Xenopus tropicalis: one gene and its partners. The main gene of each other region encodes a partner of the protein of the gene in region 5 in a complex. Links are inferred from orthologs where the notes say so. Each region holds a gene or a part of one and is shown on either strand. Other genes may lie near its edges.

The links.
Region 1: tmem17 (region 5) and tmem107 share a complex: the UniProt entries of both Homo sapiens proteins name them as parts of the tectonic-like complex. The link is inferred for Xenopus tropicalis from reciprocal best matches to the Homo sapiens genes TMEM17 and TMEM107.
Region 2: tmem17 (region 5) and tctn1 share a complex: the UniProt entries of both Homo sapiens proteins name them as parts of the tectonic-like complex. The link is inferred for Xenopus tropicalis from reciprocal best matches to the Homo sapiens genes TMEM17 and TCTN1.
Region 3: tmem17 (region 5) and tmem216 share a complex: the UniProt entries of both Homo sapiens proteins name them as parts of the tectonic-like complex. The link is inferred for Xenopus tropicalis from reciprocal best matches to the Homo sapiens genes TMEM17 and TMEM216.
Region 4: tmem17 (region 5) and cep290 share a complex: the UniProt entries of both Homo sapiens proteins name them as parts of the tectonic-like complex. The link is inferred for Xenopus tropicalis from reciprocal best matches to the Homo sapiens genes TMEM17 and CEP290.
Region 6: tmem17 (region 5) and mks1 share a complex: the UniProt entries of both Homo sapiens proteins name them as parts of the tectonic-like complex. The link is inferred for Xenopus tropicalis from reciprocal best matches to the Homo sapiens genes TMEM17 and MKS1.
Region 7: tmem17 (region 5) and tmem231 share a complex: the UniProt entries of both Homo sapiens proteins name them as parts of the tectonic-like complex. The link is inferred for Xenopus tropicalis from reciprocal best matches to the Homo sapiens genes TMEM17 and TMEM231.

Annotation. Positions count from the first base shown.
Region 1 is NC_030679.2:144,535,902-144,539,900, forward strand, and holds the start of tmem107 (transmembrane protein 107), read right to left. Parts: upstream 2,801-3,999; 5' UTR 2,694-2,800; exon of another isoform or gene 2,677-2,693; intron 1-2,676. UniProt on the Homo sapiens protein: Plays a role in cilia formation and embryonic patterning. Requires for normal Sonic hedgehog (Shh) signaling in the neural tube and acts in combination with GLI2 and GLI3 to pattern ventral and intermediate neuronal cell types.
Region 2 is NC_030677.2:162,883,776-162,887,922, reverse strand, and holds the start of tctn1 (tectonic-1 precursor), read right to left. Parts: upstream 2,801-4,147; 5' UTR 2,758-2,800; coding exon 2,493-2,757; intron 2,027-2,492; coding exon 1,697-2,026; intron 1-1,696. UniProt on the Homo sapiens protein: Component of the tectonic-like complex, a complex localized at the transition zone of primary cilia and acting as a barrier that prevents diffusion of transmembrane proteins between the cilia and plasma membranes.
Region 3 is NC_030678.2:178,905,790-178,910,013, reverse strand, and holds the start of tmem216 (transmembrane protein 216), read right to left. Parts: upstream 2,801-4,224; 5' UTR 2,725-2,800; coding exon 2,712-2,724; intron 1,223-2,711; coding exon 1,206-1,222; intron 1-1,205. UniProt on the Homo sapiens protein: Part of the tectonic-like complex which is required for tissue-specific ciliogenesis and may regulate ciliary membrane composition.
Region 4 is NC_030679.2:54,382,020-54,385,519, reverse strand, and holds part of cep290 (centrosomal protein of 290 kDa), read left to right. Parts: intron 1-127; coding exon 128-271; intron 272-2,167; coding exon 2,168-2,221; intron 2,222-3,500. UniProt on the Homo sapiens protein: Involved in early and late steps in cilia formation. Its association with CCP110 is required for inhibition of primary cilia formation by CCP110.
Region 5 is NC_030677.2:166,773,548-166,777,726, reverse strand, and holds the start of tmem17 (transmembrane protein 17B), read right to left. Parts: upstream 2,801-4,179; 5' UTR 2,155-2,800; coding exon 2,037-2,154; intron 602-2,036; coding exon 498-601; intron 1-497. UniProt on the Homo sapiens protein: Transmembrane component of the tectonic-like complex, a complex localized at the transition zone of primary cilia and acting as a barrier that prevents diffusion of transmembrane proteins between the cilia and plasma membranes.
Region 6 is NC_030678.2:41,742,356-41,745,855, reverse strand, and holds part of mks1 (Meckel syndrome type 1 protein), read right to left. Parts: intron 2,343-3,500; coding exon 2,300-2,342; intron 1,169-2,299; coding exon 1,106-1,168; intron 1-1,105. UniProt on the Homo sapiens protein: Component of the tectonic-like complex, a complex localized at the transition zone of primary cilia and acting as a barrier that prevents diffusion of transmembrane proteins between the cilia and plasma membranes.
Region 7 is NC_030680.2:64,234,200-64,236,936, reverse strand, and holds the end of tmem231 (transmembrane protein 231), read left to right. Parts: intron 1-1,149; coding exon 1,150-1,255; intron 1,256-1,469; coding exon 1,470-1,641; 3' UTR 1,642-2,237; downstream 2,238-2,737. UniProt on the Homo sapiens protein: Transmembrane component of the tectonic-like complex, a complex localized at the transition zone of primary cilia and acting as a barrier that prevents diffusion of transmembrane proteins between the cilia and plasma membranes.

The DNA of each region.
Region 1 (3,999 bases), on a different chromosome or scaffold from region 5:
CTCTCATATAATATATACAGGCTTCCCTGACTCCTATTACTGTATATACAGGCCAGGGACCCTCTCATATAATATATCCAGGCTTCCCTGACTCCTATTACTGTATATACAGGCCGGTAACCCTCTCATATAATATATACAGGCTTCCCTGACTCCTATTACTGTAAATACAGGCCAGGGACCCTCTCATATAATATATACAGGCTTCCCTGACCCCTATTACTGTATATACAGGCCGGCAACCCTCTCATATAATATATACAGGCTTCCCTGACTCCTATTACTGTATATACAGGCCAGGGACCCTCTCATATAATATATACAGGCTTCCCTGACTCCTATTACTGTATATACAGGCCGGTAACCCTCTCATATAATATATCCAGGCTTCCCTGACTCCTATTACTGTATATACAGGCCGGCAACCCTCTCTTATAATATATACAGGCTTCCCTGACTCCTATTACTGTATATACAGGCCGGTAACCCTCTCATATAATATATACAGGCTTCCCTGACTCCTATTACTGTATATACAGGCCGGCAACCTTCTCATATAATATATACAGGCTTCCCTGACTCCTATTACTGTATATACAGGCCGGTAACCCTCTCATATAATATATACAGGCTTCCCTGACTCCTATTACTGTATATACAGGCCGGTAACCCTCTCATATAATATATCCAGGCTTCCCTGACTCCTATTACTGTATATACAGGCCGGCAACCCTCTCATATAATATATCCAGGCTTCCCTGACTCCTATTACAGTATATACAGGCCGGCAACCCTCTCATATAATATATACAGGCTTCCCTGACTCCTATTACTGTATATACAGGCGGGTAACCCTCTCATATAATATATACAGGCTTCCCTGACTCCTATTACTGTATATACAGGCCGGCAACCCTCTCATATAATATATCCAGGCTTCCCTGACTCCTATTACTGTATATACAGGCCGGTAACCCTCTCATATAATATATACAGGCTTCCCTGACTCCTATTACTGTATATACATGCCGGCAACCCTCTCATATAATATATACAGGCTTCCCTGACCCCTATTACTGTATATACAGGCCGGCAACCCTCTCATATAATATATACAGGCTTCCCTGACTCCTATTACTGTATATACAGGCCAGGGACCCTCTCATATAATATATACAGGCTTCCCTGACTCCTATTACTGTATATACAGGCCGGTAACCCTCTCATATAATATATACAGGCTTCCCTGACTCCTATTACTGTATATACATGCCGGCAACCCTCTCATATAATATATACAGGCTTCCCTGACCCCTATTACTGTATATACAGGCCGGCAACCCTCTCATATAATATATACAGGCTTCCCTGACTCCTATTACTGTATATACAGGCCAGGGACCCTCTCATATAATATATACAGGCTTCCCTGACTCCTATTACTGTATATACAGGCCGGTAACCCTCTCATATAATATATCCAGGCTTCCCTGACTCCTATTACTGTATATACAGGCCGGCAACCCTCTCATATAATATATACAGGCTTCCCTGACTCCTATTACTGTATATACAGGCCGGTAACCCTCTCATATAATATATACAGGCTTCCCTGACTCCTATTACTGTATATACAGGCCGGCAACCCTCTCATATAATATATACAGGCTTCCCTGACTCCTATTACTGTATATACAGGCCGGTAACCCTCTCATATAATATATACAGGCTTCCCTGACTCCTATTACTGTATATACAGGCCGGTAACCCTCTCATATAATATATACAGGCTTCCCTGACTCCTATTACTGTATATACAGGCCGGTAACCCTCTCATATAATATATCCAGGCTTCCCTGACTCCTATTACTGTATATACAGGCCGGTAACCCTCTCATATAATATATCCAGGCTTCCCTGACTCCTATTACTGTATATACAGGCCGGCAACCCTCTCATATAATATATCCAGGCTTCCCTGACTCCTATTACAGTATATACAGGCCGGCAACCCTCTCATATAATATATACAGGCTTCCCTGACTCCTATTACTGTATATACAGGCGGGTAACCCTCTCATATAATATATACAGGCTTCCCTGACTCCTATTACTGTATATACAGGCCGGCAACCCTCTCATATAATATATACAGGCTTCCCTGACTCCTATTACTGTATATACAGGCCGGTAACCCTCTCATATAATATATACAGGCTTCCCTGACTCCTATTACTGTATATACATGCCGGCAACCCTCTCATATAATATATACAGGCTTCCCTGACCCCTATTACTGTATATACAGGCCGGCAACCCTCTCATATAATATATACAGGCTTCCCTGACTCCTATTACTGTATATACATGCCGGCAACCCTCTCATATAATATATACAGGCTTCCCTGACTCCTATTACTGTATATACATGCCGGCAACCCTCTCATATAATATATACAGGCTTCCCTGACTCCTATTACTGTATATACAGGCCGGCAACCCTCTCATATAATATATACAGGCTTCCCTGACTCCTATTACTGTATATACAGGCCGGCAACCCTCTCATATAATATATACAGACTTTTATAGCTACTTATACTGTATAAATTAACCATTAAATATCTCACATACAAAGTATTCCCCGGGCAGAGACCAGTTAAACCAGTAACTTACTGGAACAAAACCCTTACCCGTTCCAATCTCCGAGCCGAAAACCCGCCGCTTACCGTTGCCTAGCAACCCCTCAGCGTCCTAACCAAAACGCGCAGGATTCAGGAGATTCTGACCATTCACCTACTGAGCCCCGGTCACATGGGGCAGAAGGCAAGTCCGCCATTATTGTAGCTGGAAGTTTTAGCGCTTTGTCGTAAAAGCGACGACACATCCCTGATTATGAAACCTGTCCCAAACTAACATATATATAGATGCAAAGCCTCCACAATGGCGGCTAATCGAAAAGAAGTTACAGTTCGAGCGAAAATATATCAAGCCATAGATGCAGGGGGGAAAATAAAAAGCTGAGTTGGCAGCGGTGGGATTCGAACCCACGCCTCCAGAGAGACTGGAGCCTAAATCCAGCGCCTTAGACCGCTCGGCCACGCTACCTTCTTACTACAGGCCTGATGCACCCTGGGAATATTACTGGGTATAATGACGTCATTATGACTTTACTTCCCACAGTGAGGGAATTAACTGCATGGGAAGTTACACAAGGGATTTATATATCCTCTATACAGGTGGTTTAGGCTCCTGAAACATTGTTTCTTTCCCACCCTCCAGGGGGCGGGGGAAGCAGCACCTCCCTGTGCATACCCCTTGACTATCTGGGCCCACCAGGGTCGGACTGGGCCGCTGGGACACCGGGACAAATCCCGGCGCTCCCCCTGCCCGACCGTTCCTCCCCTGAGGCGTTAAATTTACGGGAGCTCAGGGGAGGACGTCGGGTGGGGGACCCTGTGGGGGGTTGGGGGGGTTAGGGCGGGAGCCCTGGTGTGCCCTGCACCCCCCCCAGTCCGACCCTGGGGCCCACAGATATAGCTATCTTTCACTCCCCAAAATGTGTAGGGCTGTATAACAAACTGCCTAGATCTTCTAATCAGGCATTGGCCCATCTGGAACGCTCTCCAAAGAGTGGCCCCTAAGCCAAATGGATGGAGAGCATACAAGTAAAGGTGGCCATACACGTAGCTGAAGTTCAGGGCTGAATCATCAGATAAGGAGGTAGAAACAATAGAAATTCTACCTCCTTCAGCCCTGAACGTAGATTTTGCTCGGGCGCCTTCAATGGCGCCTTCAACCGATATCCACAGCCTCTGGGATATTGGTCGCCTCTACAAGTCACCATACACGCACCGAATATTGTACGAGATGATAACATCTGTGCGTGTATGGCTGGCTTACGAATGCCTTTCTATTGTTCCGATTACTGATTGATCAGAACAGCAGGAGGGAGAGAGAAGGTGTAGTAAGGTAAACTGATAGATCGATAGAAAGAGA
Region 2 (4,147 bases), about 3.9 Mb from region 5:
AATGACACCACACCAATGGCCCTTTCAAAAAATCTGAGAGGAAACACTGGAAGCCTAGTTTTTCAGCACCAAAAATGTGCTCAAAAAGTCACCCTCGGCTTATACTCGAGTCGGGTGCCATGGGTCCCTCCAAACTAGCACCCTCTGTCCTTTGTGGCCCGCTCCCAAATTTATCTTCATCTACCATCCTTACCTGTCCCATTCTGCACTAGACATTTCACTTTATATTCTATATAAACTATATATAGTTTTGAAGGATTTTAACTCTTTGTGTTTTAGCTTGGTTGCTGAGTACTCTTAAGGTATCATTGTTGATAAAACAATTGTTTTTGTTGACCCTCCACTTACAGAGCTAATTTACAGTTTTTATTTGAAATAAATATTTAAAAACATATACCCCACTGATGCCTCATTTAATGTAATTTTATTGGTATTTATTTTGATAAAACTTAACAGTAGCTGCTGCATTCCCTAGGCTTATACTCGAGTCAATACGTTTTTCCAGTTTTCTTAGGTAAAATTAGGTACCTCGGCTTATATTCGGATTGGCTTATACTCGAGTATAGACGGTGATTGAGCATTATAATGATTTATGCTGAACTGCGTGTGTGTGCAGTCCCTCCTGACTACTTATTGGCTGGTGGCACCTGAAATCCCTCTGTGGAAAATTACTTTACTCTAACTCAGAAAGAAGATTAATCTTAGTTATACTCACGCTGAAGTGGATAGTCTATACAAATATCTGCATGCAAATACGTGCAGTCTTTCAAATGGGGGTCACTGAACCCAGCAGCCTAAAATGATTGCTCTGCAAATTTACTATTTTATTGTTATTATTACTTTTTATTAATGTTCTTTACAAAGGAATGGGCCTGTCAACCAGAATGCTCGGAACCTGGGCTTTTCTGGATAAGGGGTGTTTCCATAATTTGGATCTCCATACCTTAAGTCTACTAAAAATCATTTAAACATTACATAAACCCAATAAAATTGTTTTGACTCCAGTAAGGATTAGTAAAGGGTTGGTTGACTATTTAGTAAACGTTTTGTATGTTAAAGGTAATTTGGACCCTAGCAACCAGATAGCTGCTGAAACTCCAAACTGTAGAGCTGCTGAACAAAAAGTGAAATAACTAAAAAACTACAAATAATAAAAAATGAATTGCAAATTGTCTCAGAATATTACTCTCTATATCATAGGCAAACACCCCTTTTAATATCTTAGTTGGGATCAAGTACAAGGTACTGTTTGATTATTACAGAGAAAAGGAAATTATTTTTAAAAATTTGAATTTTTTTGATTAAAATAGAGTCTATGGGAGGTAGCCTTCCCATAATTTGGTGCTTTTTGGATAACGGGTCCTATCCTATTCATCTTCCAGTCTCCTAGTCAAACCACTGACTGGTTATTAGAGTAAATAATACCCTAGCAATAAGAAATCACTGAAAAACTTAACAGAATAACTCTTGTGGGGAGGTAGCTTGAAGGGGGGCAATGGAGGGGGTGGAGGGGGCTGAGAATAGGGTAGGGTTTAGTTCTCTTTAAAAGCTTTAACATTTTCAATTATTTACAGTAATGATAGAAAGTAGTTTTAATGCTCCCATCACTAGAGAAATGGATCAATTAAATGGGCATTGCCAGACGCAGTAGTGCATCATGTTACTTACTTCTATGAAGATTTTCATTTATACTTACTGTTGGTGACTGGAGAGGGAAGAACTCGAGCACCAGGTTGGTCAGCAGAACCAAAGCTTCTTGTTAACTCATCCCCTGGAGAAGCTATGACTCCAATATCAATGACTTCTGAATCCTCAACTCCTCTATGGTCTGTGTTGTTTTCAGGTGGGACGTCTTCCTCTGCACCCTCCAACACCTGGATTTCAGGTGGTTCTGTATAGGCTGTCTCTGCAGGCATTTCATTGGCCAGGCATCCACGAATATCTGCAGCATTGCAGTCAGGATCGCAGCAACAGTTGTCATCACAGTGGGCAACCAGCAGGTCACAAACACAAACCACCCTGTTAACTTAATAAAGCAAGACAAAAATAGCAGTCACATTAGGCTGATAGCCCTACTCACACAAATATGTAGAACTATAACCTGGTAACCCCAAATGCTGGATGAATATTACTGAACCAACAGTAGCAGCTAGGAGAATATTTTGAAGTAACTTTGAAACAGACAACTAGAGGAAAAATTTAAGCAGGGCTGAACTTATATACATATAGCTATTTGATATGAGTAAAACATTTTTTCATTTTTCCATTGTCAAAAAAAAACAACCTTGCAACATGTAATAATGGGTTGAACGTATATTCATACAAATTAGAGTTCTGATTTGGCTCAGGTTTTGATATGGATTTAGTACATTCCTACTAGACTACTGCCTTTTTCCATTAACAAAAATGACATTTAAACAATACAATAAGTGGTAAAGAGTTTGTGATTCCCTTTAACCAGGCTTAGGCAGCCAACCCCCCATGCTACCTACTCTTGGTTGGGCTCAGAGGCTCAGGTGTATTTGTAGCCACAGGTAAGGTATCGCTATCATTATAGTGAGACTCCGCTTTGCCCTCAGAGGTCTGGTTGTCTGTCACATGGTCAGGAAGCAGAGGACCCCCCGTACTGTCCCAGGCCTGGGTCTCAGTTGGTTCGGTGCGGGCAGTCTCCTTAGGGCTCTCGGTAGCGAGGCTGCAAGTCCCCAAAACCACGCAACAACAAAAGAGCGCAAAGCTGCAGCTCCATAGGGAATTCATGGCGGATACATAAAGGCTTACATAGCGGCAGCCTGCCTACAGTTGCTGTAAACAACCCTAGCGACTTGCGGGATCCAGGAAGTGACGTATTGTCTATTAATCATATGGACCAGACCCTGGGAGCGGAAAGATTCGCAACTTAGGTTTTAAGGGAAATTGCCTTCTCGCAGTGTAGTGATTTGCGTTGCCTGGTTTTCTTTGGGGTTCATGCTGGACACCCATGTTATTATATTACTATATATAGTATGATATGCTTCATATTACCAATGAGGGAAACGATATCTCTGTTGCTGTTGCCAGCACGGAATACATGTACCACTAGAGCAATGATGCACAGAGATGTCATTTGAATGGGTTGGTTACCTATAAAATAACTTTCAGTATGGTGTAGAGAGTGATTTTCGGAGAAAAATTGCTATTGGTCTTTGTTTTTCAATTACTTAGCTCTTTGTTCAGCAGCAATCCTGTTTGGAATTTCTGCATCTGGTTGCTAGGGTCCAAATTACCCCAGGATAAATAGGAGAGACCCCTGAATAGCATGATAAGTGAGCAATAGGCTTTTGGCTGCTGGGGTCAGTGACCCCCATTCGAGTTGGAAAAAGTTATAAGACAGAGGCAAATAATTAAAAACTATAAAATATAAAAAAAATGAAGACCAAACGAAAAGCTGATTAGAACTGGCCATTCTATTACATAATAAAAGTTAACTTAAAAGTAAACAACTCCTGTGGACATTTAAATTCAGTATAATGGAAGGAGATTTTTTGGAAAACTATTGTGATTACGCAATTGCATTAGATTCAGCAAAATTAATGCAAATGTGTGTGCATTTTATTGCAAATTGGCTGCAGTTGAGCTGAAGTCCAGCTGGCATAATTTCCAGTGTCTGCCGCATTCAAGTGACCACTGTGACCGAATCTGGAGGTGCAAGTGTGCTGCGCTTATTGCGGCTGGGCATGAAGGGAAGCCTGAAACCAGGGTTCCCGTGTCATTAGTTGCAGCAGTGCTCTATTTAGAAAGGAAGACAGGAAAGGCCAAGTGGTGCCGAGCCAATTACACAGAAGTGCAAAGAACACATTTTGCTGCAAGTGGAGATTAATGCACAACTGACTGCAGGGAAGAGTGTGTGAGTGCAACGGAGTGCATTATTATCACCCTACTGGCTTAACTGACTGCTTTGCATATTCTGTTATAAACTTGTATAATGAAGGAGAATAACATCATACATGTAGGCAGAGCTATAACAAAAAAGGATACAGGATTTACTAAGTGCAGGACAGGGTAGGGTGCAAAGTGCAAATTGTGGGCAGAGTCTGCCATGTATTTCGTACTTTGCACCTTCTGTAAGTTGCATTTTTACACACCGTATTGCTCTTGTGTTTATGGTCTA
Region 3 (4,224 bases), on a different chromosome or scaffold from region 5:
ATCCCACTCTGAGTATCACTCATGTATTATAGGGATACTGTACCCCCTACTGTAAATGATAAGGATATTAGCAGTCACTGAGGGGTTCTGTGCCCCCCATATAAAGGCACAAGGCTGCAGGCTGAGTTATACAGGGAACTCTGAGTATCACTCATGTATTATAAGGGATACTGTACCCCCTACTGTAAATGATAAGGATATTAGCAGTCACTGAGGGGTTCTGTGCCCCCCATATAAAGGCACAAGGCTGCAGGCTGAGTTATACAGGGAACTCTGAGTATCACTCATGTATTATAGGGATACTGTACCCCCTACTGTAAATGATAAGGATATTAGCAGTCACTGAGGGGTTCTGTGCCCCCCATATAAAGGCACAAGGCTGCAGGCTGAGTTATACAGGGAACTCTGAGTATCACTCATGTATTATAAGGGATAATGTACCCCCTACTGTAAATGATAAGGATATTAGCAGTCACTGAGGGGTTCTGTGCCCCCCATATAAAGGCACAAGGCTGCAGGCTGAGTTATACAGGGAACTCTGAGTATCACTCATGTATTATAAGGGATAATGTACCCCCTACTGTAAATGATAAGGATATTAGCAGTCACTGAGGGGTTCTGTGCCCCCCATATAAAGGCACAAGGCTGCAGGCTGAGTTATACAGGGAACTCTGAGTATCACTCATGTATTATAAGGGATAATGTACCCCCTACTGTAAATGATAAGGATATTAGCAGTCACTGAGGGGTTCTGTGCCCATATAAAGGCACAAGGCTGCAGGCTGAGTTATACAGGGAACTCTGAGTATCACTCATGTATTATAAGGGATAATGTACCCCCTACTGTAAATGATAAGGATATTAGCAGTCACTGAGGGGTTCTGTGCCCCCCATATAAAGGCACAAGGCTGCAGGCTGAGTTATACAGGGAACTCTGAGTATCACTCATGTATTATAAGGGATAATGTACCCCCTACTGTAAATGATAAGGATATTAGCAGTCACTGAGGGGTTCTGTGCCCCCCATATAAAGGCACAAGGCTGCAGGCTGAGTTATACAGGGAACTCTGAGTATCACTCATGTATTATAAGGGGTAATGTACCCCCATGAATTGTTAAAGGAATATAAGAAGCAGTGGGCGGGGCCAGGCTATACCTGTACAGGTGACTTGGTACCGTCTCACCTATGTAAGTGCCAAGGATACAACTCCGCGCCTTCTCCCTGGGAAGCAAACGCACAGTTAGGGGGCAGCACAAGTCACATGATACCAAGCAGAAGACCCAGTGGGGGCCGGGGGCCCCTCCCAGCACTCAGAGCAGCCATGTTTGGTCTCCCCCTGTAGGTGCCCATAATATACCCACATACCTGCCCGTAATATACCCACCCGCCTGCCCGTAATATATCCACCCGCCTGCCCGTAATATACCCACCCGCCTGCCCGTAATATTCCCACCCGCCTGCCCGTAATATACCCACCTGCCTGCCCGTAATATACCCACCTGCCCGTAATATACCCACCTGCCTGCCCATAATATACCCACCCGCCTGCCCGTAATATTCCCACCCGCCTGCCCGTAATATACCCACCCGCCTGCCCATAATATACCCACCCGCCTGCCCGTAATATTCCCACCCGCCTGCCCGTAATATACCCACCCGCCTGCCCATAATATACCCACATACCTGCCCGTAATATACCCACCCGCCTGCCCGTAATATACCCACCCGCCTGCCCGTAATATACCCACCCGCCTGCCCTCAATATACCCACCCGCCTGCCCGTAATATACCCACCGCTGCCCGTAATATTCCCACCCCCTGCCCGTAATATTACCCACCCGCCTGCCCGTAATATACCCACCCGCCTGCCCGTAATATACCCCAACCCGCCTGCCCGTAATATACCCACATACCTGCCCGTAATATACCCACCCGCCTGCCCGTAATATACCCACCCGCCTGCCCGTAATATACCCACCTGCCTGCCCGTAATATACCCACATACCTGCCCGTAATATACCCACCCGCCTGCCCGTAATATACCCACCCGCCTGCCCGTAATATACCCACATACCTGCCCGTAATATACCAACCCGCCTGCCCGTAATATACCCACCCGCCTGCCCGTAATATACCCACCCGCCTGCCGTAATATACCCACATACCTGCCCGTAATATACCCACCCGCCTGCCCGTAATATTCCCACCCGCCTGCCCGTAATATACCCACCCGCCTGCCCGTAATATACCCACCCGCCTGCCCGTAATATACCCACATACCTGCCCGTAATATACCCACCCGCCTGCCCGTAATATACCCACCTGCCCATAATATACCCACCTGCCCATAATATACCCACTTACCTGCCCATAATATACCCACCTGCCCATAATATACCCACCTGCCCGGGGAATGTGCGCTATTGTGGGTAACAGGGAGAAGTCGCTGCTTCTCTGGGGATGCCGGGAATTGTGGTCTAACAGCCCCCCCCCCCCCCCCCCAGTTGTAGTTGCACACTAGCGGTGCGGGTCCCTATGCAGCAGGTAAGGGGACAGCGTAGCGGCATCGGGTGCAGGGGATGCTGGGAGTTGTAGTCCCGCTGATCAGCTGCACCTCTTGCATAGGGGACACAGTAGCCCCACGCTTACAGGCGCCATTACAGGGAGCAGGGGGGCCGCTCTTCCATCCGCTGCTTCGCCTCCCGCTTACCTTTGGGCGCCATCTTGCTGCTCTAAGGACGCCTGTGACGTCACTCCCTGGAAACCTCCGCAACACGTGACCCCCTGAGCCGCCTGTGCGCCGCGGGGTCCTAGCGCCTTCCCCCCTAACATTCAGGGCCACTAAATAACTGGGACTGGCTGGGCTTCTGGGAACTGTTCAATGGAGAGTGTACCTGCAGCCAAATTAGATTGCTAGCTCCTCTGCCCAGGGAGACAGTAGGGCAAGATGGAGACAGTAGGGCAAGATGGGGACAGTAGGGCAAGATGGGGACAGTAGGGCAAGATGGGGACAGTAGGGCAAGATGGAGACAGTAGGGCAAGATGGGGACAGTAGGGCAAGATGGGGACAGTAGGGCAAGATGGGGACAGTAGGGCAAGATGGAGACAGTAGGGCAAGATGGGGACAGTAGGGCAAGATGGAGACAGTAGGGCAAGATGGAGACAGTAGGGCAAGATGGAGACAGTAGGGCAAGATGGAGACAACCCTTTATAACACTGAAGAGGTTATTCCAAACACAAGAGGCAGTATGAGCACTAATGACTGCACGGGGGGCAGTAGAGGAGCGAGGGTGGGAGAGTTGGGGGCCGATGCTGCTGTCTCTCAGTAGTGATGCGCAGTCGTTATTAATTGGGGCTGAGATGCGAGACCCTCGCTTCAAGAGCCGGATGTTCCCACCCACGGTTTCCTCGTCTCACTGCTACTCACCTAATTATGTTACTCACAGTTACTTCATTATAGAACCCATAGCCCAATAAAGGGTCAACTTCCCCTTTATATTTACTTTTAGTAACACATGGGCGGAGTTACAGGTCACTGATCCCCACCGTGATCCCCACCCTTTTCCCACCCTGTTTCCTTCTTGATCCCCACCTTGATCCCCACCCTGATCCCCACCCTTTTCCCACCCTGATCCCACCATTTTCCCACCCTGATCCCCACCCTTTTCCCACCCTGTTTCCTTCTTGATCCCCACCTTGATCCTCACCCTGATCCCACCCTTTTCCCACCCTGATCCCCACCTTGATCCCACCCTGATCCCACCCTTTTTCCACCCTGATCCCACCATTTTCCCACCCTGATCCCCACCCTTTTCCCACCCTGTTTCCTTCTTGATCCCCACCTTGATCCCCACCTTGATCCCACCCTGATCCCACCCTTTTTCCACCCTGATCCCCACCCTTTTCCCACCCTGATCCCCACCCTTTTCCCACCCTGATCCCCACCCTTTTCCCACCCTGTTTCCTTCTTGATCCCCACCTTGATCCCCACCCTGATCCCACCCTTTTCCCACCCTGATCCCCACCCTTTTCCCACCCTGTTTCCTTCTTGATCCCCACCCTGATCCCCACCCTGATCCCCACCCTTTTCCCACCCTGTTTCCTTCTTGATCCCCACCTTGATCCCCACCCTGATCCCACCCTTTTCCCACCCTGATCCCCACCCTTTTCCCACCCTGTTTCCTTCTTAATCCCCACCCTGATCCCCACCTTGATCCCACCCT
Region 4 (3,500 bases), on a different chromosome or scaffold from region 5:
TTACATTATATAGGATACATTTCTCTTCTACAGATTTTTAGGATATAGATAACCTCAGTTTAAAGTTGTTCAATTTGAAAGGCAAAGTTCAAATATTAGAATGTATTTTTTCTTGTTTTTAAAACAGGTGGCACAGCTATCCTCTGGTAGCAGAGATTCACGTTTTTTGCGTGAAGAAATTAGACAGCTGGAGGAGCAGTTGCGTCAGAGTGAGAGAGAATGCAAAGATATGGCAAATGAGTTGGAAAGGGAGAAACAAGTTAATGAACAAGTAAGTTATATCAATGACCACCTTCCTTTCATTTGTGTCGGTATATTTTGTGAAGCTAAACAGTGTTGTTATTGGAAGATACTAGGTCGTGTGAACAAAAATAAAGTACATTTTTGTAAATGTTTTTTTAGCTTGGAGACAAAAAGTTTTGTATTGTTCCTGTCTAACTGTAATGTTTTCATACCAAAGCAGATCCCATTTGACAGTGAGATGTAGTTCCCACATTACTACTATCTCAGTCTGGTACTTTTATTATTACTGTGATGTCCTGTGATGTGATTTTTTAGTGTTACTGTTCCTTTAAAAGATCAGAACCCAGGAAAACTTCCCTTTTGACAGTGTGTTCATTGTGCCACTAATTTTTACTAACTGTTACATTTTATTCCATTTTTCTATTGCCAGAGCCTTTAGAATGAATCTTTCTCGCTCACAATTACTGCATCAGTTGCATGCCAATCCAATTTGATTTCTGGTGTGGAACTTGACATTCTATACACCCTAACATTGAAGGGCTCTATAAAAATATATTGCATACAACAGCTTATATGTAAACCTCTGCTTCAGCTAAATAAACCATTTTAATAAAAATATACTAATTTAGTAGTATGTGCTATTGGTTAATCCTATTTTAAGTATTAAGGACCAACCTCATGGTCCGTACTATTCAGGGTGCACACAGATAAACCATGGGTACACATACATGTTCATTCTTATGAGCCAATTAATGAACAAAGTCCTGTGTTTTGCTCCTACACTTCTTCCTGTACAGTTACAGTTAGAGCACCATTATTTCTGATAAGGCGAACTCTAAAGAAGCACAAAGATCATCACAAAATAGTGGTTCAAGGTATATTCCAGTTTGGTAAGATTCTATAATAGGCCTCTTTATATGATATAAACCAGTCGGTTGGTTAATCATCTGTTCTGAAGGCATCGTTTTCTAAATATCACCACCTGGAAATTCCCCTAAGGAAAAGAGCACAAAATGTACATTTAAACAAAAAAGAAACTGATCAGCAGTGAAGGAGCAAATCACATTTTGGGGCATATTTATTCTAGTGTGTAAGCCAACATCACTGGTGATGTGACCCATAGCAAGCAATCAGATCTTTGCTTTTGTTTTCTAACTTAAATGTAATTGCTAATTGGTTGCTATGGGCAATATCACCGGTGATGTTGGCTTACACATTACAATAAATATGCCCTTACGTTTGCATTTGAAAGACCATAAAGAGCATGGTTAATGTGTAAGCCAATTGCAACTTTACTGTGGTGTAATTTCTAAAATGCTTTTGAGGAAAAAATATATTTGTGTAACAATAATGCTTTAGTGCTGTTATTACTGAGATGCATGTAACAATTTTTGTGCCAGAATATAACCATATTTGCAAGTCAAATGTTATCAGAGAATGACTATTAACAATAGGTAATGTGTGGATTTTTTCCTGCAAGCGTCATTGCAGCAGCAAGCGGGAATTGCCCTGGTGCAGTTGCTTTTGATCTGGCAAAATTAGCACAACTGCACATGCATTTTCTCAGAGATAAAATGCAATTGCATGGAAGTTCGCTTGGCATAATTTCCGATGTACGGTGTGAGTAACGCATGCCCAATTCTTTGGGAGCAAGTGTGCTCCTTCTATTGGTGCAGGGTATGAAGGGAACCCTGGAGCTACTGCCTGGTCAGAAGGTGGCAGTAGCTCCAGTGTTCTCCCTGCGTGACTGGGTGCAGCAGTGCCTGATTCAGAATGGAAAGCAGGGAGGACTGAGCAGCACTAAGCACAACTATATGGAATTGTAAAGAGTGCATTTTGATGCAAGTAGGGTCTGCGTAACAATGAAAATAAAAAGTTAAAATGAAAGTTATAAATCCAGCTATTTCATTATTCACTCTTTTAGCTTGCCCTCCGAAATGAAGAAACTGATAATGAAAACAGCAAGTTAAGAAGAGAGGTAGGTGCTGATTAATTCTTAATTTGTGTGTGCTTGTTTGTTGAAAACCCAGCAGGATATTATTGTTTGCTTAGATAGTACTTAAGTGGTTTGAAAAAAATAATCAAATTCATTATTGTTCATTTTTAATAGAAATTTTTTGGAAATGACTGCTTCATTTCATTGTTTTTTGGATAATGGGTTTCTGTATGATTCTTATCTATATTTTTCTCCAAATAATGTTTGTTTTCCAACAGCTAAATGCTACTTGCTTATTGGTAGCTATGAGCAACGAGACCAGTACAAACTTTACACCTTCTGTTAAATTACACTGATAACGTTCAAACGTGGAATCATATAACAGAGCATAACACTGGTGCAGAAAAGGCAGGATTCTGTTAAATGTATTGATTGCAAACAAGAATGGAATGTGACCGAAATGTTTAAAATAAATCAGTATTTACCAAAAAGAAAAAATATCCTGTGTTCATAGCAAGGTTTTTTTTTCCCCAAAGTGCCTCAACCACTGTTAGTTGAACTCAGACCAATTTAATAAATATTTCACTTGCAGTCTCCCTGGCAATTTTTTTTTTCCGCTTTCCAGCTGTACTGTTTCTTCTTCTCCTTGCTGGACAGAAGGCTTACTCCCAGCCCCACCCCTTATTCACAGGTGATGATCGCAGCTGTGGTTGTCCTTAATAAATAAGCCCTCGTAGGGCATAAACACTGCAAAATGAGCTTATATTTTATATTTTACCACGTAAATGTCGAGCATTGTAGTTGATAAAGTGGCAGCCAGTTAGTATGCACTGTTTTCGTGTCTGAGTCTCAGAGTCAGACATTCTGTTGAGGTACAAAAATAATATTGAAATACAGTTATGGGACCTGTTATCCAGAATGCTCGCGACCTGGGGCTTTCCGGATAAGAATTCTTTCCGTAATTTGGATCTCCATACCATAAGTCTGCTAAAAATCATTTAAATATTGAATAAACCCAACAGGATTGTTTTGCCTCCAATACGGATTAATTATATCTTAGTTGGGATCAAGTACAAGGTACTGTTTAATTATTACTGAGAAAAAGGAAATAATCAGAATTATTTGCTTATAATGGAGTCTATGGGAGATGGCCTTTCCATAATTTGGAACTTTCTGGATAATGGGTTTCCAGATAAGGGATCCTATACTTGTACCTGTATTGCTCAGTCAATGGATATAGTTAGTAAACACAGTTATCAAGAGATATATCCATCATCAGATCAGGTGAGACATGACAATTTTAGGTGAAAATGATGTCCAT
Region 5 (4,179 bases):
CCAAAAAGAAATGAATGAGATGGAGAAATATAATTGATAAAAAATGTCTGTTCTATTATCATAATACTGTATGTCCATTATTTTCTTTTGATTCTTTTATTTCTAATTATATATCAAAGAACCAGTGAAGATACATTTTTTTAACCAGGGAAAACCTATAACATTTTTAATCTGTTCTGGACGTTATGGACTCTTTATATTTTATAATGTGACTTTACCTTCTCTGTTCTCTTTTCCTATTTAACAAATAGCACAGAGCACCTCTGATGATCCTGAATATAAATGGGTAAAGCTCTTTTGTTTTAATTGACACTACAAAACACTTATGCCTGTAATAATACAAGCAATCCGCTTAGTGATCCCCCTCTGCTAACTGTTTGGAAAATGCAGCAAGAAGTCAAATTTGAATCTGAATCAATTTGCCCCCATAGCTTGTGTGTATGGCTACAGGGCTACTAGATATCTTCATATTAGAAGAACATAATAAAACACTTTACCTTGAGTTCCATGGTAATGATCTCTGATATAATCCAGAAAGGAAAAAAGAAAGCATTGAAATATAACATCATCTGTAGTGGAAGGCTTGACAGTAGGTCATGGCCTAAAACAAAGGAAAATATACAGATATTTTATTTTCAGCCCATTGACCATTTGCAAACATTTTTGCCTTGTTAAGACTGAAGCTTTGAGAGCAGAACTTTGCAGCATCAAATCAATATCAAGTAACAACATTTGTGCTTTAAATGTCCTTTTTTCTGTTATTGTGCAGTATTTCATAAGAATACATTTTAGTACATTTATTTGTATAAATACCATTTGTATATGCTGAAATCCAGCTGCAAAATAGTTCTTCAGGTGCTGCATCATTTGAAATACTGTCAGGGAAGGAAGTACTAAAACATTGATGTTACAAATTGTAACAACTCCTCTACAACTTATAGGCAGCATGCAGGAACTATATAACCCACAATGCATTGTACTGTAAACAGGGGCAGCAGAAGCGCAAAAATCAGCTCCTGGTAACTTTAAGAGCCGAATTTCCGGTTTTTAAACCGGAAATTCGGCTCTTCTAGTGCAGAGAGCGCAATTGCGCTCTCTGCACTAGCGATCTCACTGCCCCCGGACCCGCTCCTGCGCTCAGAAGGTAAGCGCTGGGGAGCGGGGGGGGGGCGGCATCCAGGAGCCACCTCAGGCGGCGATATGTCCAGAATCGCCCCTGACTGTGATGTTCCTTTCTTTATTGACATTATGTGCAGTGGATTCTGGGACTTGGAGGATGCAGGTTGAAGGCAGGCTGAGGACAGTCGACTACTGTTACATTTTATTTGAGTTGTCAAAGTAGACAGCCAGATCAGCAGGACAACAGGGAACAGGCTTAGGTAACTGTTCCAAAGGCTTAGGTAACTGTTCCATATGTTTTTAATTGCTATATATTGCAACATTGCTTAAAATTATGTTTACATTTCAAAAAGCTTAGGGTGAAGTCCCCTTTAATCTTGCAGACTGCAGTTGTGAATAGCTTCGGAAAACTGCCCTCTCCTTCCCAGCTTATTGGGATAAAGCAGATTGGCTTTTCACAGATGGAGACCTAAATGTGCCTGTCTCCATAGAATGCCAGAGATGATAATAGCTTCAGAAGCTGGGTGTAAAAGAAACAAACTTTGATGTGCCTATTAATAATATAAACATTAAAAAATAGGACAATTACCTGTATTGTATTAAATTTTGTATAAAGAATTGTCCTTTGTCAAGTACAATCTATTCATTAGGAAGAACAAATTAACAAGTATTTATAAAGCACCAACCTATACTTCAGCACTGCAATATATGGGTGTGTACATCAAACCTACATGTTACATACAGATACAAACAAATCATAATAATGACTCTGCTTGGAGTCATTGCATGGATTTAAACTTACAACTGTAACTGTAAAAAGATGGCTACTTCTGGGCTATGCTTTGAGCCTTACTTCAGATTGCAAAATCTGGCAGCACAAAACATATCACTTATTCCTGAGTTACAAGGCACAATACCTGACTGATATGCATGTTGTTCTCCACAGTCTCTGGTCTTATTTTGAATGAAGAGAGATCCACTAATTCTGGCAAGTCCATGCCGTACGCTGCCAGGCAGTGGAGTAAGAAGAGCCATCACCACTGCTTAGCAGATGCTAACTCTGTCTTTCTATAGAGATCAGACAGGATTACTGTCATCCTTGCATGTTGATTAAAATGTTTCAATGGGATTTGCAACAGGCTGCTTTACTAAAGGATTATTTTAATCAGAACCTGAAGAGAGCTAATTTGGTACAATCCTGCTGTGCAGTATTTTTTCCAATGTATATTAAACTTTCCTATCCTCCACTGGTTTGTAATCTAACTTTTTGCACCATATTGCTTGTCTAGAGAAAATAGTCACAATTTACAATATAAACTCAAGCTTTCTCCTACTGTAATATTATTATGTTCATTGTTGAATGTTTAACCAATTTTTCCAAATTGTGGCATCAAAATTGGCCACCACTAACCCCATTATTGCCAGTGGAATCACATCTCAATTGAATATTTTAGAATATTGTTTTTTTGCTGGAGAAAATGCCCGAGTATTACCTAGACCTACAGTTTAGAAGATTATATATCAAAAAATAGTGTCAGTGAATATGCAACCTGGGTTCTGGATGTTGCTGTGTTCAGAAGAATGATGGGTTGTGTAATTGGGTTGTCAGTCCACAAATAAAATTCCATGTTCCTTCTTTGGTAAAGATCTTTAAAAGATCATAATTCTTACTCAATATGGAGTGTGTTTGGAAAAGAACAGCTCCTGCCTATGGAAGCAACTACTGATTAGGCATTTGGGGACAAAGGATTTTCTGATTCCATGCCTGCAAGGAAATAATAAGAAGCACCCGTTGAACTAACTACAAATGTAACCCTCAACCCTCTTATACTGTACATTTGTTTTGAGTTTACTGGTCATCCACAAGGTTGCCCCTTGTAAGCTATTCCTCAAACAAATAAGCTGGCCTCAAGAAAATTAGGAGAGAGTTGCGACTGCAATGACCAACTGGCCTATGGGAAGCATGGTTGGACTGGATTTTCTGAGCAGTCAGGCACTCATCTTCTAGAATCAGAGGATGGCCTATTGTAACTTGCAAGCCAAAAGCAGCTTAAATGCTGTGCAAGCATGCTGTATATTCACAACATTTGTATACGCTACAATGTACAACATTGTTTTATAATAATAACATCAAATCCAAAAAAGAAGATATTGCAGCAATATTAAAACAGACCAGTGTTGTCCAAATAAAATTATAATGTTTTTACTGCACAAACCTTAGGGTTATGCAATTGGGATAATATTTGTAAAAACCTAAATAGATACACCATGGGGACTTGTTGTGCAACAAAGGTGTATGTGGTACAACATTACTATACATTGACTTTGTAGTTAGTGTACTTTTATACTGACTTGTGGTTACATAAAGTAATGGAGGAAACATGAGCCTTTCAGTGGGCTCCATTGCTTACAAATACGACATCATGAGATGACACAACAGATTTGACACATTTGTTTACTTTCTTTTGGTGGAGGGCTTCACCTATGTGCAGTCCTAACTAAAATCATTGCATTTTTAAATAGATGTAGTATATTGATCACTTTTTTCTCTTTTTTAATTCATACCTTCCCTTTATATTGAAAGACACAAGCATAGATAGGTACAAGATGCAAACATATTTGTGTCTGTTTCCTCCATGAATGGACTCCTGATAAAAACTGATTATGGTGTCGGTGAATGAAAGCATTATATCCTGTTCTGGCATTTCTTATAAAAGGTTGAAAAGAGGCCAGAATGTTGCAGAACATATTTACACACACATTTGACATGTGCATTTGGCTAACTTTTTACTACAGCACAGAATGTGGAGGTACATAGGGTTACTACCTTTTCTGAAACAAAACTGACCTTCCTATATTGTTAGCATTTTTTCTTATTCATAACGGTTCTTATTAATAACAAGCTTGAATTTTACTGGCCAGGTGGCAACCCTAGTGGTACTGAATCCAAAAATAGTTGTGATATTAGTGACCCTCCCTCCCCACCTGAGATTCTCCTCCATTCCTCCTTCCACTCAATGTCCTTCCCTTCTCTAACTTGTAAGACTTTTCTGACACCCC
Region 6 (3,500 bases), on a different chromosome or scaffold from region 5:
ATACATGAAAATTGCACCCCTAACAGTCCATATGCCTTCTGCATCCTGTGCTGGATTTAGAAATAAAGGGCAAGGTGCAGACTTTACACTTACTTTTGTCAATTTGCACCTTGTTTACATAAAATGTTTACTTAAAGGGACCTGTCATCCAGAAAAAAAAAAGCTGTATAATAAAACTCTTTTTCAAATTAAACATGAAGCCCAAATTCATCCAAACCCACTTTAAAGGAATTTAAAAATCCTAGCTATCAATCAAATATTGCCTGTTCAGACAATTAACATTCACTTTCCCCCTCCCTCCTCACCGTCTAAAAGGTTTAGCCAGTGCATAGGCATGTGTATCAGGTCCCTCATTCCGGCACATAAACAAGATTTTGGGGTGATACAAAGCTTGCGACCACAAAATGGCACCTGCCTGCATGCTGTAATTGTGTAGTTCCATGACTGGAGGAAACAAGATTTATACTATTTATATAGTGTAAATAAAGTTTATTTTGCTTGACAAACACACTAGAAAACGATTTGGAATTATCTCATAGGGTGACAGGTCCCCTTTAAGGGCTAATTTTCTACTCACATCCTCAGTTGAGGTTGTGCAAATGGGGATACAGTGACACGAGAATTGGAACAATTCATCCTTGCAGTTACAGTATGTATATCTGTCCCGTCTGCTGTAAATTGTGTGCGTTTAGCAGTAGCGCCAGGTTTCACCACATTGGCTTGCATCAATTGACATACTCAAAGAATTCAATGCAGAAGTAATTTTGACCCTAGTGCTGGAAGTGACAACATCTTGACTCACAAACACAATTTTGATGCACTGGCTGCAATTGTCTGATGCAGCGCCCTCTTGTGGCCACAGCATTGTAAGTAATGTCCGAATTTGAACTTGCGGTCAATTTCAGTTACTCCTAACATATCAAACACCCCACTCTGTTCTCAATTTAATTACTTGGTTTTCTCTTTTGTAAAATCAATGTTTTTCAGACTGCACATTAATGTAAACACTGTATGAATCAAGCTCATTTAGGCACCTTTATTTAATAATAAGAAAGATATTTCAATTACACACAGAAGTCTTACCCTACCCCATGTTAGTACTTACTTTTAGGGAGTTCCACAAAGAAATGTACATAGAGATTATCATACTCAAACTCCTGTGCTGAGACTGTTAAATAAAAAAAGATAAATAGGTGAATTAATGATGGGCAGGGTTGTAGGGGCTGCAAAATATAGTGTTATATTTGTATAGCACGGGTGACATCAAATCAAATGATTAATAGAGAAAAGGACAGCACCCATTGTCTATTACAGATACAATAAGAGTTTCATGTTTTCATTTTTAAATTTTCAGGCATTTTTAAATAAACAAACAATTTTTTAGTGATGGGCATTTATTTGTCATTAGCAAATGATATGTGATGGAACTTGGTTACGAAATAGCCAGGGACGCTGTAACTTCCAAGATGGTGGTGTCATATTTACCCATAATGTCACCTGTCTGTGCAACAGAGCTACTGACCCAGAGACTGGGCCTCAGGAACTCAAAATCATACAGAATTGCTGTTTCTGACTGCCCCCACCTTAGTTACACCCCTGCTGCCTTCCTGTTACAGTACAGGAGGGCTATGGTTGGTTTATAAATAGGTCTATGGCCGGCCAGCCCAAGATAGTAGCTGCAAACTAAGCCAGCAACAATATCACAGAAAGCAGTAGGCACCTCAGTAGGTGAATCTAATATGGTAAAATGGTCAGTTGCTGAGAAATTTATTATTTATTCTTCAAGGGTTACGTGTCTAATAATATGACTCAACTTCCTTTTATTAACCCTTCTGTTTTTCCCATTTGCCTCCCTCAGATCTCTTCTTCTTCCTTTCTTTGTTTTTGTATTTCTTTTCCTTTGCAGTGATAATAATATGTTGCTGCCTGAATCAATAAAACAATATAAATTAGGGACCAGCAATGCGCTAAAATGCTGAAAATATAATCCTACTGCAAATTCATACTATAAACTTCTGCTGTAAACTTTATTTTTCAAATATGAAGGGTTTACCAGATGTGCCTGAAATGCTAGTAAAGTTTCTTCAAAAGTCACAGATTTGGTGGAATGCAGTATTATTATTCTGTATGTATGGAACGCCCACATATTCCACAGAGATTCATCATACACTTTGCCCCAGTAGATATAGAATTTTTTTATTAGAATAATTATAATGTGCTCTAATAAACCTGTTGCTTATGAACCAACTGTAACAGCATTTTAGGCACATACGATCCTTCGCCGTGATAATGCACTTACCAATTTCCCCATTAATGAAGACTCTTAGGGTACCTGCAGGGGGCTATGAGGAAGCAGAAGAAGAAACAAATTTAAAGTAAAAACATTGCTTACATGCAACCTCTTTTACTTTAGCTGTTGCAGAACTACAACACCCTAGATTCTCCTGCCAGTTTAGCTACTTTGGGTGCCGTGTGTCAGATTTCTATAACAGCTTCAGAGCCAAGGTTGCTTATTCATGCTTTAAGCCAACATTTATTAATGCACAAACTGAAATATATACCAGGCCCTGTTTTTAGTGTAGCCTTTCCAAAATCAAAGACCTTTATCCCAAAGCAAAGAACATAGGGGAAATAATGGTCCAAGTGTCTGCGTTAGTGTGAGTTAGTGGCCACAGAATCCACTGCTCTCTGAGAAATGGCTATATTTTAAAAGGATATGGAAAATATGTTGTAAATACATAGAGCTTCTCTAATCAGAAACATGGTACACAATCCATTCCAGCCATAATGCATTCAAAATATTTCCCAGTGCATTCATGAGGCTGAAAAAGCCACATGTCCAAAAGTTCAACCTTTTTGTCTAAAATTGGCACTCCCAGTCATTATGCCTTTCCTTGTCCTTGAGAATCTCTTCACTAGTGTAAATGGTCCAAACTGGCCAACCTTCCATTAGCAGTTCTTCTAGATTTTCTCTATTTTACAAATATACTTTTTAAGGACTGGAGACAAAAACTGCCTTGCCAGTGCTTTGTAAAGGGGAAGAATGTCCCTATTCCCCTTCTTGTATCTATTCCCTCTTTATGATTGGTAGTTTTAGTACCTTTCTGACATTTCCTGCTGCTGACTTACATTGCTTGCTACAGATACATTTCTAATCCACAAGTACCCCTAGGTCCTATTTCATAAAGGAATCTACACTGCCACTTTGTCCAGATTCTCCTGCAAGGATAACTCACTGTGGACTGAATTAATTGGCCTGCAAAATTATTGGCAAAAACATTGCATTGCAGATAAGCACAGGCTCACAATCCGCCCCTATGCTTAAAAAAATCTTCTGGTTGTGCCCACACCCGTAAGCACTGAATCCACAAACAGGCAAAAACAGCCAATATCCACCAACATATGCAGATATGTTGTGCATGCCTAAACCCAGGTAGATTCAGTGCTTACGGGTGCAGGCACAACTAGAAGACTTTTTAAGCTAGGGGCAGATAGTCAGT
Region 7 (2,737 bases), on a different chromosome or scaffold from region 5:
GTAACGTATTTACTTTTTCTCTCTAAAATTATGACAGTTGCTAGTAATTGATGTTAAATAAGCTAGCATAAATGTCTCTCTCATTCCTTTCTTAAAGCATGGTGCTTAATTTTATTAAAAGACCTTTTATCTAGATAATCTCAGAAGTTAAGCATTAAAAATAATAGATTTCATATGTTTAATACTAGTAGCTTAGAGCACGTATCCCTCTTGCCCTGTCTAGTAGTTTATTTGCTCCTTGATGGACAATGCACTACTGTATATGTGTGGCCTTTTGGGAGAATGAATGTATGTGAAATATATTAAAATCTATAGCTATACATTTTTATGAAGTTGCCCAATCCACTGGACATTAAAAGCACTAGGGTATATACTGATCAGATTTTAGATGAACATAAACACTGTTGAACACATCACCCACACACAATTTATATTCCATAATGTTTGGCATGTGTGAGTGACATGTGCCACCTATTTTGGCATAACTGTCTGTGCCAATTGATTTGGGCAGGAAGAATTGAGCAGTGCCAAGCAACATATGGAAGTGCAAAAAGTACCTTTCTAAGCAAGTACCTTCTTACCCAATTTTCTCATGCAACTTACTGCAAGGAAATTAGCGGCATTGCTGCTGTACTAGCAGTTGTAAATGACCCCTACCATGCTGAATGGCACATTAACTGTTCTTAGCTGCTGACGAACCATTCACTGTAAGATAATAAATATGTGTGCTGGTTTAAATGGAAGAGTTTGCAAGCCTAACGGGAAATCTTAAACTGCTCTGTATTATGGGAGCCAATGCTAAATGGTCAGTGCTTAGAGTATGGTGGACAAGGACAGTTGTAACCCTGAGGCTTTGAACACAAAAGGGTAGAAAAGGGGCTGTATGTCAAATGTGAAACATAATTAAACGTTATAATAATAAAAAAAAATATATATATATATATTCATTATATTTGTAGTGTTTGTGTGTATGTATACAGAATAGACATAAATTTCGGCAACATCATTTTTGGCAACAGATTTGTTTGTTTTGTGAGAGATTTGTGAGATATTTTTATATTTTATGCATTATTATAGTTGTTATTATTTACCTTAAAGTATTAGGCATCTTTTTGTGTTTGTTAACTTTTTAATGTTATCTGGTTGCAGTGACCACAGTTCTGAATGCCCCAAACCCCCTGTGGATTGTTGGGAGAGCTGCTTCTGATCCATTTGTAATAAAAGCTGTTATCCGGTATCCCGTGGAATCAATATCATATCCTTTAACTCTTGTACAAGTTTGAAAAGTATAATTCTTTGTGCATATGCACAGCTTCTAGAGTATTTCATATGCCTACAAGTATTAAGAAAACTATTACTTTTATATCCGGTGCTTGGGCTATTTCTGATTTCTATTTCCTGGGATTTTGTTTACTGTTTTCAATATTAGTGCCACATGTCCCTTTTGAAGATTCCTTAACATTATCCACATATGTGCCTGGATTCTGGGAAATGCTAAAATATGCATGGATTCAGTATGTCAGTATCCTTCTCATTTTCCTTTGGGTATTTGAGAGAATTAAAATATTTGTTTTTCAAAATCAAGTTTTGACTACAGTACCAGGCCCAATACCATCATTGTATAAAAGTCATCAGAGCTGATAACCAACCCCATATGATAAACTGGATCTTGGGTATGCCTTTTGAGGCCTTAAGACTTCTAATAACTTCTCTTTCTTTACTGTGATAAAGAAGTGGATTTTCAGGAACATGAGAGGAAACCTATTTGCTATGTTGGAATTATTACAGCAGGAATTTCAGACGTGTTACTGATAAACTTCAACTCCCACAAAACATGCAAATAACACTAAGCGAATTCTAAGGGTTGTAATTAAGCAAGAGGTGAAAGCTTGCCTCAACAGCCCATACATTTAATGCTATGTTTTAATAATATCTTCTTGGAAAAATGAACCTAAATGTACTTCCTTTGGTAATATTTCCTTCTTTCTGAAGAGAGTGTTGGTTTAAAAATCCAGTGGCACTGGCAGTACATTGGATTGCCGTATACTACTGGTACCACTCCATCTTAAATTTCTTCGCTCCTAGTCATTTTTTTGTGGAAGCTAGAAATTGTTTTGCAAAATATCTCAGTCTTCCCAAATATTTCAGTTATTATTAACTGAATATTTCATTTTTATTAAAGGGGACCTGTCACCCAAACATAAAAAGCTGTATAATAAAAGTCCTGTTAAAATGAAACATAAAATCCAAATTCCTTTTTTTATTAACACATCCAAACCCATTATAAAGGCATTTAAAAATTCCAGCTGTAAATCATATATTGTATTAGGCATAGAGGTGGGGCAGACAATTACTTTCACTTTCCATTCAGCACTTCGTAGATGTCACTGCCACCCTCATCACTTTCCCCCTCCCTCCTCACCATCTAACTGTGTAGCCAGTGCATGGGCATGGGCATCAGGTCCCCCATTCTGGCACATAAACAAGATTTTGTTGTTGAAGCGAAGCTTTCCTTACTAAAATAGCACCTGGCTGCTTGCTGTAGTTGTGTAAAGACTGTGTAAAGACTGAAGGAAACAGGATTTAAATAATTAAATAATTAATTACAATAATTATATTGTGTAAGTAAAGTTTATTATGCTTGACTAATCTGATAGAAAATAATTTGGAATTATTTCTTACGATGACAGGTCCCCTTTAAAGGAGAAGGAAAGATAAAAACTAAGTAAGCTTTATC